Schizosaccharomyces pombe: one gene and its partners. The protein of the gene in region 1 interacts with the protein of each later gene in a pairwise test. Each region holds a gene or a part of one and is shown in the gene's direction. Other genes may lie near its edges.

Region 1 (5,447 bases):
CACTAGCAATGGCTCTAACATATTAACATCTCTTACTACACTATGGTTCACTGGTTTTAACCTTACAACAAGCTCTAACCCAACTGTAACTTATAACCTTACAATGGCTCTAACCTGACAGTAGCTTGTAACCTAATAGCGGCTCGTGAACCTACCATAACTAGTGTGCTTTGTTACAAATCGGTGAATAAAGTAATTTTACTATTACCGTTTAGGAACATACTCATACAACTGCTCTTCGGCGTTAATATTGCGGTCCGACACGTTGGTTAATAAAACTATCTCCTCCGGGATTTCCTTGCTGTAGCCATTACGATATGCGACGTTGATTCACAAGATGTTGCATTATAGCATCCTGACTTGAACCACCTGCAAAAATTTTTTTCATTCTTAGGCGTTTGTTTATTTACTCACCACCCACAGGTGATAATTTGCTATTCACGTTGCACTGCTTTACTTACCGAACGGATCAATTCCACATAGCGAGAGATATCGTAAACGGCAAACAATGTCTGAATTTTCATATGAGTTATTCCACATTGTCAGCTCTATCTACTTTGATGGATCACAAGTTTTCCCGGATTTTAGGGTTGCTCAATAAGCTAACATCGGTTTCGGCCCATGAATGATGTCCAGCGCATGGTTTCTCGTTTGTGTCGCAACACCTAGTCCTGAAGTAGCTGAGTGAGTGTATAAGGTACAGAAATGAAATGAAGTCGTGAGATGAATACACAATCATGAGACATACTTGGCGCCACGTTGAGTAATTGAAATGATTGAACCTTTTTTGACGGTTGGTTGAGCAGATTGATTATTGAGGTTTTATTTATTAGGATTCATTATGTAGCGCACAGGATCAAATACTAGGTTGTGCAATACTACTCGACATTGCCTCAATTCATTACTTTCGCTAGCCAAAAAAACAATACGGGCTAATTGGAAGTTAAACGTGCCATAAATTTCGTCCTTGTTGAAATACTGACGTTTTCAAAGTTACGCATAGCTTGTCTTTGATTCCTTATATACAACATTGTGCAGTTTCTGTTGAATGTAGTGAAACCAAGCGATGAATAAGCTCAAAACATGAAAATTTTTCGTTTCATTTTTTTTTGACAGGACCGTATCAGTGTCGCAGTAAAATGGGATCCTAAGTATGCAAAAACAAGCAGTTAGTTAGACAATTTATGGTTGCGTATTGCTGCTACCTTCGCAATCGGCACAATATTCAAGCAATTTGAAAGCGACTGAATGCCCGAATTTCATTGGCTATATGATGAAAAGCGAAAATCCTACTTTGACGAACTATAAAGTATAATATTCAGCGGCAATGTTGTATTAAACAGTAGAAAGGTTTATTAAAGGTTTATTAAATGTTTATTTACTCAATTGATCATTGTTGAAATTTGCTTTTGAAAATCATTGGCGTAGATTCTCGTGTCGATGAAATGTATCCCTAACAAACGCAAAAACGTTTTTTCAATGCCTAGAAATTGAAGTCGTTGAACTACTACTACAGCAAAATGCCAAATCTGTTTACTTAACTGATTAAAAGTGAAACGATACTGAATACTTTTGATTTTTCAAATAAATTTGGTAGCATATGATCGGTTTCTTGTTCTTTTTCTTTAAAAATTGGAAATCTAAATGCAAACGAAGTAATATTAATAGTGGTAAAAATATTAATAGGTATGGAACTTGCTATTTTATAAGGCTGCTTTATTACTTGAATCCATCAAACTTCTCACTTCACTGAACAGTTTTGCCATGCTCTCACGAAAACTCCTAAATTACCAAACCTGTTTTTTATATAAACACGCGAATTGCTGGATTTGGATCCTATCAGCTTCAAGTACTTAATTCATCAGCGTTCAAACCCTCTTGTATTAACAGTCTACCATTTTTATTCATCAAATATTTCTCGCTTTATTTCCATATATTATGTTATGAATATTTATCGATTGTCAGCGATATATAACGTAGTAAATTCTTAGTGTATACACTTACCGTAAACACAACAAAACTCTTTCTCAGCAGTCAATCTTCGTACCGTCCATTTCTAGTGTGTTTATCTTGGTATTGTATCCTTTATTGTTTGTGAAGGAATTTTCCAGTATTGGAATTGGAATGATACCTCAAGAAAGGTATACTCTGCTAGGGTAGGATCAATTACATACATTGTGTGTATAGGTATCTGTTTTCACATAAAAAAGGCGTCAACGATAATTCGTCTGTTATTAATAATTTATACATTCGCATAAAGCGATCAAAAAGGCATTCAATTACAGAATCCTACTTAAGCTTCACTTTTTTGAATACGAACACTAATTCAAATTCTCGCCTTCCAATACTCTCTTTTCAATTTTTGTCTCTCTTTTTACATATTTATTTATCACTGATTCGTTTGTATATTTTTCTTTTAATTTTCAAATAGCCTTTTATACATCAATGTTTACTAATACACCGGTTGGAGGGAAAAGAGAGCGTCAAAATGGCGCTCATCCAGCTTGGTCGACGTTAGGAGCGAACTCTGCTCAGATTCATCAAAATACGGCTGATTTGGCCTCCAAAATGCATAAACTTCGCTATACAAAGATAAGGTCCCCTCCTACCAGGGTGTCCATTGAATCAATTACTCCTAAACAAAGATTTCCAGCTCCCAATTTCGAACAGGCTTACCACTCTAATATTCGATACGAGCAAGAGGAATCTGATAACGAAGAATTTGAAAACGTAGTGAAAAATGGACACGAAGCTTCGACGAATGTATTCTATGAATCAGATGGAGATGATGAAGAGTTTGTCAATGAAGAATACGAAAACAGCATCGACGAGGAAAGTGATGATGAAGGGTATAGCTTGAACGAGGATACCACCGCAACAAATGCCAGTTTTAGGTACCCGATGAATCAAAGATCTACAAGGAAATCTCAATTTTATTCCTCAAAATTTAAACCATTACTTTGGTTCGGTATCACTCTCTTTTCGACTCTCCTAATAATTACTCTACTTCACAAGGGTCAAGAATTTTACTCAAGATCATTTTCATCAGATAATTCCCAACCATCTAATTCGCCCGTACCAAACATTCCTCCTGCATCCAATGACACCAAAACAAGTTTAAAGCCAGATATTATTAAAGACTTCACAGATTCACCTTCTAAAGTTGGCGGCAATGAGGAATTCGATTATTCGACGGGAGATTTAATTACAAAAAAGGAATTTGACAAGATTTTACAACAAAAAGTAGAGCAATTAAAACAGTCGCTAAAGGAGGAGATGTCTAATTACAAATCATCGGTCCCATTTGAAGTTGAACTAAATGACGATTGGAAGTTCTTCATCGAATCTACGGTTCGAAAATACTTGACCGATCCGGTTTCCATGCCGAATTTTGCATTGCTCTCAACAGGAGCGGAAGTACTACCTGCCTTAACCTCAAAACGCTATGTGAGACGACCATCTGCATTCATACCACGATTTACCTCCTATTTCTTTGATTCGCTCGTTGTTAGAGGACACGAACCTAGCATAGCATTAACTCCCAACAACGCAGTTGCGATGTGTTGGAGCTTTCAAGGTTCAGAGGGACAATTAGGAATTTCCCTATCACGCCCTGTATATGTAACCAATGTCACAATAGAGCACGTTCAGCACAAGATTGCTCATGATCTTTCTAGCGCTCCCAAGGACTTTGAGTTGTGGGTTCAGGGAATGTCCAGCAAGATGTTTGTATTGTTGGGAAAGGCGAGATATTCTTTAACGGAAGACTCTATTCAAACTTTTTCGTTTGAATCCTCCAATTATATTGTCGCTGAACCGATACAGAATGTGATCTTAAAAATAAAAAGCAACTGGGGAAATCCCAATTACACATGCTTGTATCAAGTTCGAGTTCATGGGACTGTACCCAATGCAGACGAACAACCAATACCTTCTTTAGGTGAGAAAGCCGAAAGTACTGCAGAGAATACGGGTCAAGATTCATCTTAAAGACCTACAAAATGTAAGATATAAAAATAATCTAGCCTGGAATGGTTTGAAGATCATAAAAGAGCGATTCTCTTTTTCGATTTTCCTCATCTGCTTCCTCGAGCATCAATATCTTTCCCACTGTTTCTGGAGGATTTAAATTGAAGTTTTTTGCACGTTTCCAGCGTTGCATCCTTGTCATACCAAGATATGGTCCATATCTTGCCGTAGTGTCAAAGTGATGCAAAATGAACTCTACTTTGGTTATATTTTCACAATGTATTGGTTCACTAATCCTTTCAGCCATAATTTGATTCCAAGCCTCTTCTACCTCTTTTGAAAGCTCATCGTCTTCTTTAATTCTCTCATCCAAGGTTTTGGTTGTAATTGTAACATCGGGTGTAGGCGACTGTTCAGAACTCACTTTCTTCCCTATGTGGGATTGACTTGAATTACTTCGAACTACATGTGGAAACACGTCGCGAATATTAGTGTTTTGCCCTGATTTTTTCGCTTGAGTAGTGCGCTTCTTCATACTGCGTGATATAATTCTGTAACACTGCGGTACTAGAATGAAAGGTGCACTATAAATCCAATTCTTTTTCGTGTTTACTCAATTTAGAGCATTAGTTTGTTTGGCCAAAAGAAATCTCTGAAAAAGTACATTTGGTTGCAAGTGTACTTTTAATATGTATATATAACTTTAGATGACTACTATAGCGATGTTTAAAATGCGTCACGCTGACGAGAAAATAAGTATCCAGCCATCCGCTCGTTCTTTATCGTTATACATATATCAGCCTTCATATATATTATTATTCATTTAGGTCCAAGTATTTAAGTGCATTATTGATAATTATTAAAATAGAAACTTCTTGACGACCCCTATTTCGGTATTTCTAGTTCGTTGTTGGAGCAAACAAGAAGTAAACAATACTCGTTATTAGTTCAGATAGTATTGTGGAAATTTCATAATTAGATACAAGTATTTTAGCAATACGTGTTGTCTTAATCCAGCCTTGGTCATGCAATTGAATCACTTGCCAGCCTTCCTAACATATCTTTAATACGTTTCTAAAAAGGGTTTTGGTCTTTACCGATTTAAAATAGGCAATTTCGTAAATGCAAATAGATATACTTATTAACATTTTCAAAATTTAAAAAATTTATAGTTAAATAGCTTTGAGTATTGCAAAATTTGTCTTTTGTGCTTTGCTAAAACAGCGTAACTTTTTACACTGCAATTGAAGCACAAAGACAGTTGAAACTTCAATTCCCTTACAGCTTTTAGTAATTTAAGTATCTAGTTTCATTAAGTTGTCTTTTTTTAAGGGCTTTTAAACTGTTAGTTATACAGTGGTAAACAAACTGACCGGGCTTTCTCAATGATTAAACTGCACTATCATTAAATACAGTGTAGTCAACCAAATTGTTATATTTTTTAATGCAGTCGATAAATTTACATAATGCTTTCAAAC
Region 2 (4,699 bases), on another chromosome or scaffold:
TCCGGATTAAAACGCTGCAAAATGGGCAGGACTAAGGAGGAGGAAGTAAGCAAAAAGACAAAAAAAAGCAAAGATAAAAAAAAGCCTTACCATTTCTTTGCTTGAAAATCTGTTCCAATGTGCTAGGAACACCTAATTGATAACAGGCAACCAAGGCAAGCAAAACGAAAAACTGAATTTGCCGTAAGGGTTGATTGCTTGATGATTCAATCAAGGTAAAGAACTCTTTCATTACATCTTGAGGAACATGAAATATATCAGAATAACTTTCTTCTTCTGGAAATAAGAGAACATTGTTTGCTTGAAACACGTCCCAATAATTTCGATATTGCAAAGGAATGGATGAATTACCTATAGACAAAAAAAAGAAAAAGAAAAAGGTTAGCATCATTACAGTAAGTAAGTAAAAAAGCAAGAAAGATGAAAAAAAAAAAAATCAAGCTAAAGAAACAAATCAATGATAGAATGCATCGATCCGTAAAATTAACTATTAATTGAGAAGGAAAAAACAGAAGAACAAAACTTTTACTAACCAATTGCTGTTTTATAATTTAAAGGCTTCACTGGTGAACCCCAATTACTGCTAGATGCCCATGGATCAGGCTCTAAAAATACATTATCGCCCATAAATGGAAACCCCGATGTTCTCTATCTTTTCGATGATCACTTCGTACAAAAGAGAAAGAAAACAAAGAAGATTTAATAAAATTTGAAAGCTAAGAGAGGTCCAATTGAAAATGTACAAATAATGCTGCTAGCAAAGAATTCTAAGCTGACAAACGAATTTTTCAAATCTTCACGAAAGTAAATGAATTTTCTTGTCTCTTGCACCAGTTAAAAATAAAATGATACGAGAAATAACTAAACTAGCGTACAGAGGTTTCAAAATATGTAAATGGCAGAAACCAGGTTTTACACGCTCAAACACATATACATATGGACAGTGTTAATTTCGCCAAAAAACCTTTGACGTCACATCGCTCGCTTCTCATAAAGTAACATGCTAACCAACTGTTTTGACTGAGTAGTAGCTATATAGAAAATGTAAATAGAAGACGTTTTCGAAAGAGTTGGCTAAATTGAAAGAAAAAGAAGTAATTTCTGTATTTATTGCACATTCTTGGATGAAAAAATCTGACCTTTTCTATGCATTTCTTTTTTTACGATCAAAACCTTGTATTTTTTAAAAAGTACAATATATACGACGTTGATTGACTAAAACGATTCAAGGATCAAAATATAAGTTAAGTAATCAACCAATCTTATTTGGAGTCTATGAAAGATTCTTGGGCGATCGTTGTTTGACCCGCAATTATAAATGCTGGCGTTCTAAATTACTGCAAATTCGCTTGAAGTTCTCAGAGGAATCGATCGATCTATAAAACAAATACGAATAGTTTCTACTTCACTAAAAATAATTTTTTTTTTTTTTTTTTTTAATTTGCGATTTCATTTGAATTATCACTTAAGTATGCACAGTACGACCAAGTTGTGGCCTTACTTTTCTAGCTGCTCTTAAATCAAGCATAAACATGATTTCTTCTAACATCTTTTTATCTATTTTCAAGTTTTATTTTAATCCGTCTTTTTCTGTGTACTTCTTTTTGGTCTCTCAAACCACTTGCTCAACAGCCCTACTGCCAAACCCTTGGATAGACCTTGCACGAAACCCAACTCACAACACTTAAGAAATGCGGTGAATTCGTGAACTGTTATGAAATGCACGCAGCTTTATGATAAATTCTAACAAAAAAATTCAAAACTGAATCCCATTCCCACTAGAATTGTGGTTCGTTTCCTGTATAATTATAATTGCCAGTTCCCTTTCCAAAATGCTAAATGAACGCGATTTTGACTTGATTTTCGATTCATATGACTTTAAACATGAAGGAAAAGTATGAAAAAAATTGATTGCTTATGCAGGTAGATCTTGTTTATTGAGTCAGAGACAAACTCTCAAGACTCTGGTTTTTCTCGCTTTACCCAATTACCAATAGGATAAACTATTAACAAAAAATTTTCTTAGGTTCATCTTTCCAACTTTTTGCCAATCATCAATGACCTACAACTCTTACATCCCGCTTCTGCACCACCTCTTTTGAGCGAATTCCAAAAACAATGTACACTCGAATTCGTACGGCAAAATGCAGATCTCTCTATTACAAAGGATAATTTTCGAGACGTATATAAAAAACTTACTGAAAACGAAGATGACTCTTTTGCGAATCAAGCTGAAAAGCCTTCGATGGAGCAACAGAATTCCAAAAATTCTATCAAAGAGGATGCAAATGAACACTCTGTCAATTCTGCACATTCAAAATCATCTTCTAATGCCTCTCCTGAATCCTTAAACCCTTCTCAAATGATGTCTAAGAGACTGTCCTTGCCGCCGATGTCTCAATTTACCGACAGTGATTTTGTCAATATTCTTCGAACTCCATTTGCCCAATCTACACCACTAAATAGGTAAGAATTTTTTTTTTAGAAAAGTCATTAAAATTCTAACAAGAAGAAATACGTCGTCCAGAAATACTGAGATGCCACTTGTTAGGAAGGATAAACCTGATTTTTCCAACGGGCACCATGATCTAATCAAGCAAATCACAGAACTCCAGGATATGTTAGATAAAGCTCGAGATCAAGCTAGAAAGAAATCTCGTACTGTAGATATTTTAGAAGGAAAAGTGAATGAACTTACCCACCAACTAAATATGGCAGATTCCAAATATAATGAATCTAAGGTAGCCAATAATTCGCAAAATAACCAAATTAAGACTCTTAAGGCTCAAAATCTAAACATTCACAAAAACTTTCAGAAAATTCAGTCAGAACTCATACAGACAAACTCTGGCCTCTACTCCACAAAAAAAGAGCTTTCAGCCTTGCAAGTTCGGTATGCCACTCTCTTGCGTAAGTTTACAGATCAGACTAAGAAAATTGAGGAATTAAGCTTGGCTGCATCTCGGTCAAGTGAAAATGAGAATACTATTCGTCGGCTTGCTTTAGAGAACCATGAATTAAAAAATTCTAATAATCAGCTAAACAACCACATAGATGATCTTACTAGAGAAAAACATTTAATTGCTTTGTCTAATAACCCAAAAGGAGATGAATTTTTATCACCCTCTAACCTTGACGAAATGGTTTACTCCAAAGAGGTTGGCCTTTCTTTCACTCAACCATCAGTTTGCATTTCTATTCCTGCGGTTGGAATGCGGGAAAGTGAAGAATTAAGAGAATTGGAATTTAAATGTAAACAACAAAAGAAAACGATAGAAGAATGCAAACACATAAGTCAATCATTGCAAAGCTCTCTTACTGCTGAAAGTTCGCGAAACAAAGAATTGGTTGCTGGATTTTTGATGCTTTCAGAGGAAATTGGTATCCAAAAATGGATTATTCAAAGCCTTTCCAAAATGTCTCCAACCCTAAACGACTTTTGTCGTCGGTACGATTCCTCTATGCCAACATATGAAGAATCAAGCCACGAATGCACAGTTCTTTCGAGCTTTAGTGACGATGAAACAGGACTCATGGCAACTAATACAACAATGAATAACTCCTCTAAAGATTTTATGGCGTCTCAAGATACTGTTAATGCAGACAACCCCCATTTTCTAGCAACGAAAGGACAACCTTTGCTTCTTTTATCGGTTATGAAATCCAACATTTTGCGACTTTTTTACGTCCTTTTTCTTTTTGCCTGTTTTTACGGACTTGATTACATATTGTGCGCCGAGCTATTGCAAGCTTTTTTGCGTGTTGTATTTACATTTTGCGAACATATAATTATACTCCTTTATGGACGGTATGAACTGGTACAGCCTTCTTGATAATTAGGCGACTAATAAATAATGACGAAAATGAAGATGCTAGCGAAAGATTTTTTTTTTCTAAAAAAAAAATCAGTGCTGATTTAAATTGCTTTACCCTTTTTCAACTTTTTGTACATAAAGGTGCAGCTGAATAATGGGTCTAACGGATAAAGCAATAATGGAACTTTCTAATTTAATAATAATGTATTTTTATGGTTGTGACGATTATGATTTTAGATGCAAGTGAAGATGTGAGAAGATTCAACGTCTTGTTGCTTTTGTTTCAGATGTGGAAGAGACAATAAGATAGGTAATTATCGTTGAGGTTATCCCCGTAAACCAAAATAAAGATGTGAAAACGAGAAATGCGGAAACCTTATGCGTATACATGAACCAGCTAGTAAGGACAAGTTAGTTTGTGAAAAAGTATAACAGGTAAAGAAATTGAGTAAAGTAAAAAAAATGAAGAAGGTAAATCAAAAAGTAAAACTTACCGCATGCCGTGCAATTTTGATGCAAAAGCTAGAGTCGCTTCGTAAAATTCAATATCTTTAGAATAAATTTTGACAATAGCTTGAGCTGGAGTATTTTTGACAGAAAATCTAACGGAAAGTGTTGTAATTGAATTAAAACTTTTAGCAAATGTTTCAGATTCGAACAAACGGACATTGACAATATCTGTTTCTTCCAAAATCCCCATGAAGTAAAGAGGTGAACATACAATTAGCTTAAGGTATTCGTGAATAGGAGACCTATGAGGAAGCAAGACTGTTCGTTTAACCTGCTTCAGAGATCTTTGATTTCTATCTTGAAAATCGACAGAAACCATAAAATTGCCCATAGCACTATTTCGAGGAGAATGCGGCATTTTGATTTGAAGCAAA
Region 3 (5,678 bases), on another chromosome or scaffold:
CTTATAGTGAAATTGGGTATAATATTCGAAAAAAAATTAGCAAACTCGCTATTTTATGCTATTTATTAATTCTTTCTGTTCTTACTGTGAAAGATATTTCTTATATTCCACTTACGTTTGAACTGAGGCTCTTGCTGTATTTTAACTTACGGCTTGCAGTATCAATATAACTATTGCTACTAGAAATTACCTTTAGTCTACGTATTCCATTGAAGCTCTCCGAACGCATCATCTATAGGAAGTTTATTTCTTTTGGAACGGCAAATTTGCCAACTTCTTGTCTGTGAACATATTTTTGTGATTGTATTCTTTCTTCTCAATTCCTTTATTTCATGCTAAGTTGAGCTATTTGATTTCATTTTAGAGCATATACCGGTACATAACTTATTAAATTCTGATTCCATAACAGGAGTGGAATTGATTTACTAATTCTCGGAGTACATTTATTGTAAATTTGAGCATCTCTATTATTTTGGCTTATTTTAGTTAATTATTGACTGTAAACCAACAACATGACTACATTACTGGAAACACCTGGATATAGTGAAAAACTTCATGATTCGATTGAAAAAAAACTTTCTGAATATGGGTGGGGAGAAGAGGCTGCTTCTCTGGCCGATTTTGTTCTTGTGATGCTTAGCAATGGAAAAACACAAACTGAAATTAATGAAGAACTAGTTGATTTAATAGGGTCCGATTTTGATACTAGCTTCTCACTTTGGTTATTTAATCAAATTGAAGAGCTTGAAAAATCAAAAAATGCTTCAGTTGAGTCAGTCAGCAAGATCGACGAAATCGATTTTATCGAGAAGGAGTCAACTGACAAGTCGCAGCAATCTTTCTCTGTGCCGGAAACTAGCATACAACCTCAATCTTCTCAAACTCCTAATATAACTTCGTTACGTGAAGAGAAGGAGCTACCTACTGGGCGTGTCGGACAAAAGCTCAAACTTACATCTCAGAAACAGCGATTCAATCCCATGGCAGCTTCGTTTAACTACTCGAAATCCGTTATGCCTGCTGCCAAGCGTGCTCTCACTCAAACCCAAGAGGTCCCTTTGTGCAAATATGCCGATAAGTGCTCCCGTGCTAACGTATGTATTAATATCAGATAATTTGTTAAAACTAACTCTTTAGTGTATATTTGCTCATCCGACACCAGCCGCAGCCCCAGGAGAAGGTATGGTCCTGAGCAGTGAAATGTGTGCTTCTGGTAAAGAATGCAAAGCTGCTGATGTAAGTACCATAATAATTTAAATCTAACTATTACTAACGTATACAGTGTGTCAAGGGACATCCATCTCCAGCTACGGTTACTACATTACCACCTTTCATGTCCATGTCAACCATTCCAATTCCTTGTAAATATAAACCGTGTTTGAATCCAGCTTGTCGTTTTATCCACCCGACGAAAAGCAGAAATATGACATGGCGGCCACCCTCTAAAACAGAAGAGACGTCCCTGAGTGAACGTTCGTTTGCTGTTAACGAGTCAGAAGAACAACTTCATGTTCCTTCTGTGTAAATTTAGAGAATTATGATACTATTTCGTGTTCGTATAATTGGCACATATCTACTTTTGATAGTCAAGCCAGGATACTTCGTTTAAGAACATACCTTCTAGAGTTTGCAAACTTGATATTTATTTTATTGTATAGATTGCTAAAACGATAAAGTTTTATTTGTCGCTACGTTTGCTGCAATCGGCAATTATCAAGTCGCTAAATTGATTTAAAAAATTTGTTTTCGTTATATTGATGTCTTTTTAGTGAATGAAAATTTTATTTTGATGTGAATTATGCAAATAATGATTTATTTACTTCTTCGGTTAAGTTAATATTATACATATTCAAATACCCACGTTTGTTGACATTCATTACTAAATACATCTTATGTTACTTGTTGGTTACTTGGCTTACACCATGTTGTTGACAACAATCACTTGGTATTTACATTCGCCAGTTTTACGTCTATACACATACCCTTTAGTTAAAAGGTTTTTTTTAATTGAATGGAGGTCCCTTCTTATTTTGACCCCGATTATGATCCTTCGTCTCTTCGAGTAGTAGATTTGCGTAATATATTAACTGAATATCAAATATACTATCCGTCAACGGCGAAGAAAGCGCAGTTAATCACGCTTTTCAGTAAACTACGAAGGGCAAAAAATGGCTTGATCTCTATGACAGAATTGCAGCAAAAGAACGTTCCTCCGTCTTCTCGTAGTCCTCGTAGAAGGGTGGCAGGGGTTACGAATAATGTTACTGCTCGAATTAGCTCTAAGAGAAAAATAAATATGGTTGACGAGGCTAATGATACAGAAATTTCTAAAACTTCACAATTTGAAGATAATGTGATGGGGATGTTACAGGACGAGAACGTTCAAGTTTTGAATACTAACACGATAACCATTTCAGAAGAATCTGAATTTCATGCCTCAAAGATTGCCAAAATAGATTCGCGAAACGAAGAAATAACACATATACCATTTGAGACGCAAACTGAGCTTAATGCGGCAGTTGTAAACCTCGACAACTCAATGGAATCGTCTTTTTCAATTGTCCAGAATTTAACAAACAAGGATTCTTCTGTAGACACCGCTACTTACGATTTTTCTGCAGAAGTTGGTAATATCGTAACACCTGCTTCAAAGTTTTTAGACTATGATCAAAGCTATCTTGTTAATGCCTCCGTGTCGGGTGATCCAACGCCAGTAAAGGTATTGAACACGACGTCTCCAAAAAGCGAAAATCCATTGAACCAAAGTTCTTTTCTCAGTTTCTTAGGCGAAAACCTAAAGCCTAAGTTTACCTCCCGTTCGTCAAGCGTTTACGCTTCTCCTATCAAGTCGTCGTTGAATTCGCTTGAATGTAATCCAAGTAACCTTCTTTCAGTCAGAAAAAATTTTCAACAAAGTTCCGACTCTTATCTCAAATCAAACAAGTCATTTGACCAACTCAACAATTTGGTTGGCTTGTCTACTGGTAATTCGGAGAACTTCACTCCAGAAAATAACAGTTTTTCATGGACTCATCCCAAAAAGAATTCATCATCACCCCTTCCTCAATCTCAATCTTCCTCAATTTTTGTAGAACACCTAAATCAGCTGTACGAAGCAAATGCATCAATTCATCGTCCTGTCAACCCTGCGTTTTCTACAAATTTTGGGTTAGAAGCATCTAATACATCGACGCCAGAGAAGAAAAAATTTGATTCCCAAAAACCCGACGATGATTCGGTTAATGAGATTTCTTCTGATCTCGGTCTTAGTACTACGGGTATTGATCGCGTGGAGGAAAATATTTCCTTGACTAAGGATAGGCAACCTAAAAGGCCATACTTTAGTCTTGGTTCATTCATTTCTTTAATTTTCTCTTTTACCAAAGTGGTAAATTCCTTATGGCTTGTATTGCTTGTCGTACCTCTCTTGGGATTTGTAGGCTTTTGGCATCAAGAAGTACAGCGCGTTGGCTTCTGTGGAGTTCCTGCCGAACCTTATCCTTCTAGTCTATATTATCTCCAACCAGGAGTTTTACGTTCCTCTATTGAGTCTGCATATTCATTTGCTCACTCTTTAGGAATTGAAGCCTCTTGTCAACCTTGTCCTGAGAACGCTGAATGTGGTTTCAATCGTCAGTTATTTTGCAAAGAAGGATTAAAGGCTTCGTTTCCTTTACTTGCAGATTTCGGCTTAAAACCATACCCACGATGTATTCCGAATACCGTGAAGGTTAATAAGGTTGAAGAGATGGTGCAGGCATTTATGTCTATTATCGGAAAGTGGTACTATAAAGCCCCTAAAGAATTTGCCACTTTTGAAAGTGCAAAGAATTTAAACGGAAAATCATTTGTTGACAATTTTAAGGATCGATATTACATGTATAAGCAGGACATCGATAATGTAGTCGGACTTAAAGATTTTAAAGTATATCTGAAGACTACTTTAAACCGTCTATATAATTCAAAGCTGACAAGAAAAGTACTATATTACTTATTTTCTCCACTATTTACTCTTGAGCTATGGAAGCTCCGAGTACGTGGGGCATTGAGTAAATTTCCGACTAATTGTTTGCGATCTGTCTACTCTCATACAGTTTCCTTAATGAAGTATTTGACTTCAGCAGTTATATCCTGTTGGCGAATTTACTTGTTGATTGGTATATTGGCAGCTATTACCGGTACCGTTGTATGGCGAATAAGAGTCTATGCCAAGAAGCATGTAGTAAAGCATGGAGTCTCCGTATGCGTTTCACATTGTATTGCTAAGCTACAAAAAACCAAGCTAAAGTCCTTGACAGATTTTTCTGTCAATCCTCGTGTAGAAGTCGTGCAGCTACGTTCTGACTGTTTTGTATCTGGAGTCGCAGATGACAAGGGCCTTTTTGAACTTGTACATCTCCCTTTGTCAATTCAATTAGAAATATGGGAAAAGGTGGTTTCAGTCCTTGAAGGAATGGTAAGCGTAAAGGTATGGGACAGTGAGCGCTTGGCAAAAAATCGTGCTTGGGAATGGATCGGGGTTTTTTCAGATGACATTGCCTTATAAAATACGGTTAGATATATAAAAAATGACCTTAAGGTCAAACTTTATGAATGTCGTTTGGCATGATGATTTATGAATCTAGATACGAGTGCAGCATCAGTAGGTACTATTATGTCAACATTATTTTCCTCACGTTAATATAATTATTTTTTAGTTATTGCACTTTGTTAAGCACAGGAGCTTATAGATTGAAACACTATCGAAAAATTTAATCAACAGATTCGAAAATTTCATTAATTTAACATTGGTTTTTCTAATTAAAAAAAGAATATCAAATTTAGACCCGAACCGTTTGCATTAGCTGTCTAAAAGAGCATTTCAAATTAGCATTTGGCATCCGGCCTCAATGAAAATAAAGAGTTCCATGTGACAGTTCTTATTTTGAAGGGTTCTGGCATGTTTGTAAAAATTCAATGCCTCGACGGTATTGAACGGTACAGTCTAAAACAGGTCTAATACACTTTTAGAGTTCTAGGACTAAAAATGAACGATAAACAAGGGCCATAAAATGCTCCAAATCAAACAAAAGCCAAACTCGCAAATTGAATTATCTTTATTGCAATATAACTCTAAATACGCAGAAATATGAAATTTATAGAATATGAAATTAAAATAGAATCTGGGAAACTCAACAAAGAAATAATTAACACGTTTAGTATAAGATAAAATAGTAAAGACAAATAAGAAAGATTAATGCAATGCACTTGCTACGAGATTTCGTAAAGCTTTACAAAGTAGTTCAACATCGCCAGAGTAACGACCGGAAGCATAGAAAAACTTTTCGTCCGAATAAACCCAGTGAGCAGTTTTGGGCCCTGGTACGTATTTCGATTCAGGAATATAAGTATAAGTATAAGCCGGAGGATTAGATGCGCCAAATAAATAAGACGCTCTTTCCATATAAAGTGGAGTCGTAGTCGATTTAATCTCAAGATTGGGAGCAGCCCGCTGAACAGCGATTGCTCCTTGAGCCATTGTTGCTAAAACGCGGGTGCCACTAACACGGGCACATAAAGGTATATAGTCAGCTAACAATGAACTGAGACGAGGAGACTCTACAAGTTCTAAAACAGCGGGATCCTGCCCTCCTGGCACATAAACCAAGTCAAAGTTTTCAAAGGTAAAGCTCATATCA

Evidence for each region.
Region 2: the proteins of sad1 (region 1) and kms1 interact in binary tests that used the Schizosaccharomyces pombe proteins (3 or more experiments, as listed by UniProt).
Region 3: the proteins of sad1 (region 1) and man1 interact in a two-hybrid assay, tested with the Schizosaccharomyces pombe proteins (4 studies listed by BioGRID).

Annotation. Positions count from the first base shown.
Region 1 is NC_003423.3:2,301,737-2,307,183, forward strand, and holds sad1 (protein Sad1), read left to right. Parts: upstream 1-2,029; 5' UTR 2,030-2,445; coding exon 2,446-3,990; 3' UTR 3,991-4,021; coding exon of another isoform or gene 4,022-4,504; 3' UTR 4,505-4,925; downstream 4,926-5,447. Other genes in the region: DNA polymerase delta subunit Cdm1, read right to left, coding at 4,022-4,504.
Region 2 is NC_003424.3:3,461,233-3,465,931, forward strand, and holds kms1 (protein Kms1), read left to right. Parts: upstream 1-1,665; 5' UTR 1,666-1,832; coding exon 1,833-1,895; exon of another isoform or gene 1,896-2,026; coding exon 2,027-2,466; exon of another isoform or gene 2,467-2,512; coding exon 2,513-3,833; 3' UTR 3,834-4,076; downstream 4,077-4,699. Other genes in the region: sei1 (seipin), read right to left, coding at 4,077-4,212, 4,310-4,699. UniProt on the Schizosaccharomyces pombe protein: Has a role in karyogamy, recombination and segregation during meiosis. Although it has been shown to associate with the spindle pole body it is unlikely to be involved in its formation or maintenance.
Region 3 is NC_003424.3:5,234,652-5,240,329, reverse strand, and holds man1 (LEM domain-containing protein Man1), read left to right. Parts: upstream 1-1,951; 5' UTR 1,952-2,011; coding exon 2,012-4,546; 3' UTR 4,547-5,174; downstream 5,175-5,678. Other genes in the region: poly(A)-binding protein Nab2, read left to right, coding at 513-1,094, 1,138-1,236, 1,283-1,525; SPOM_SPAC14C4.04 (uncharacterized protein), read right to left, coding at 5,234-5,678. UniProt on the Schizosaccharomyces pombe protein: Required for correct meiotic chromosome segregation.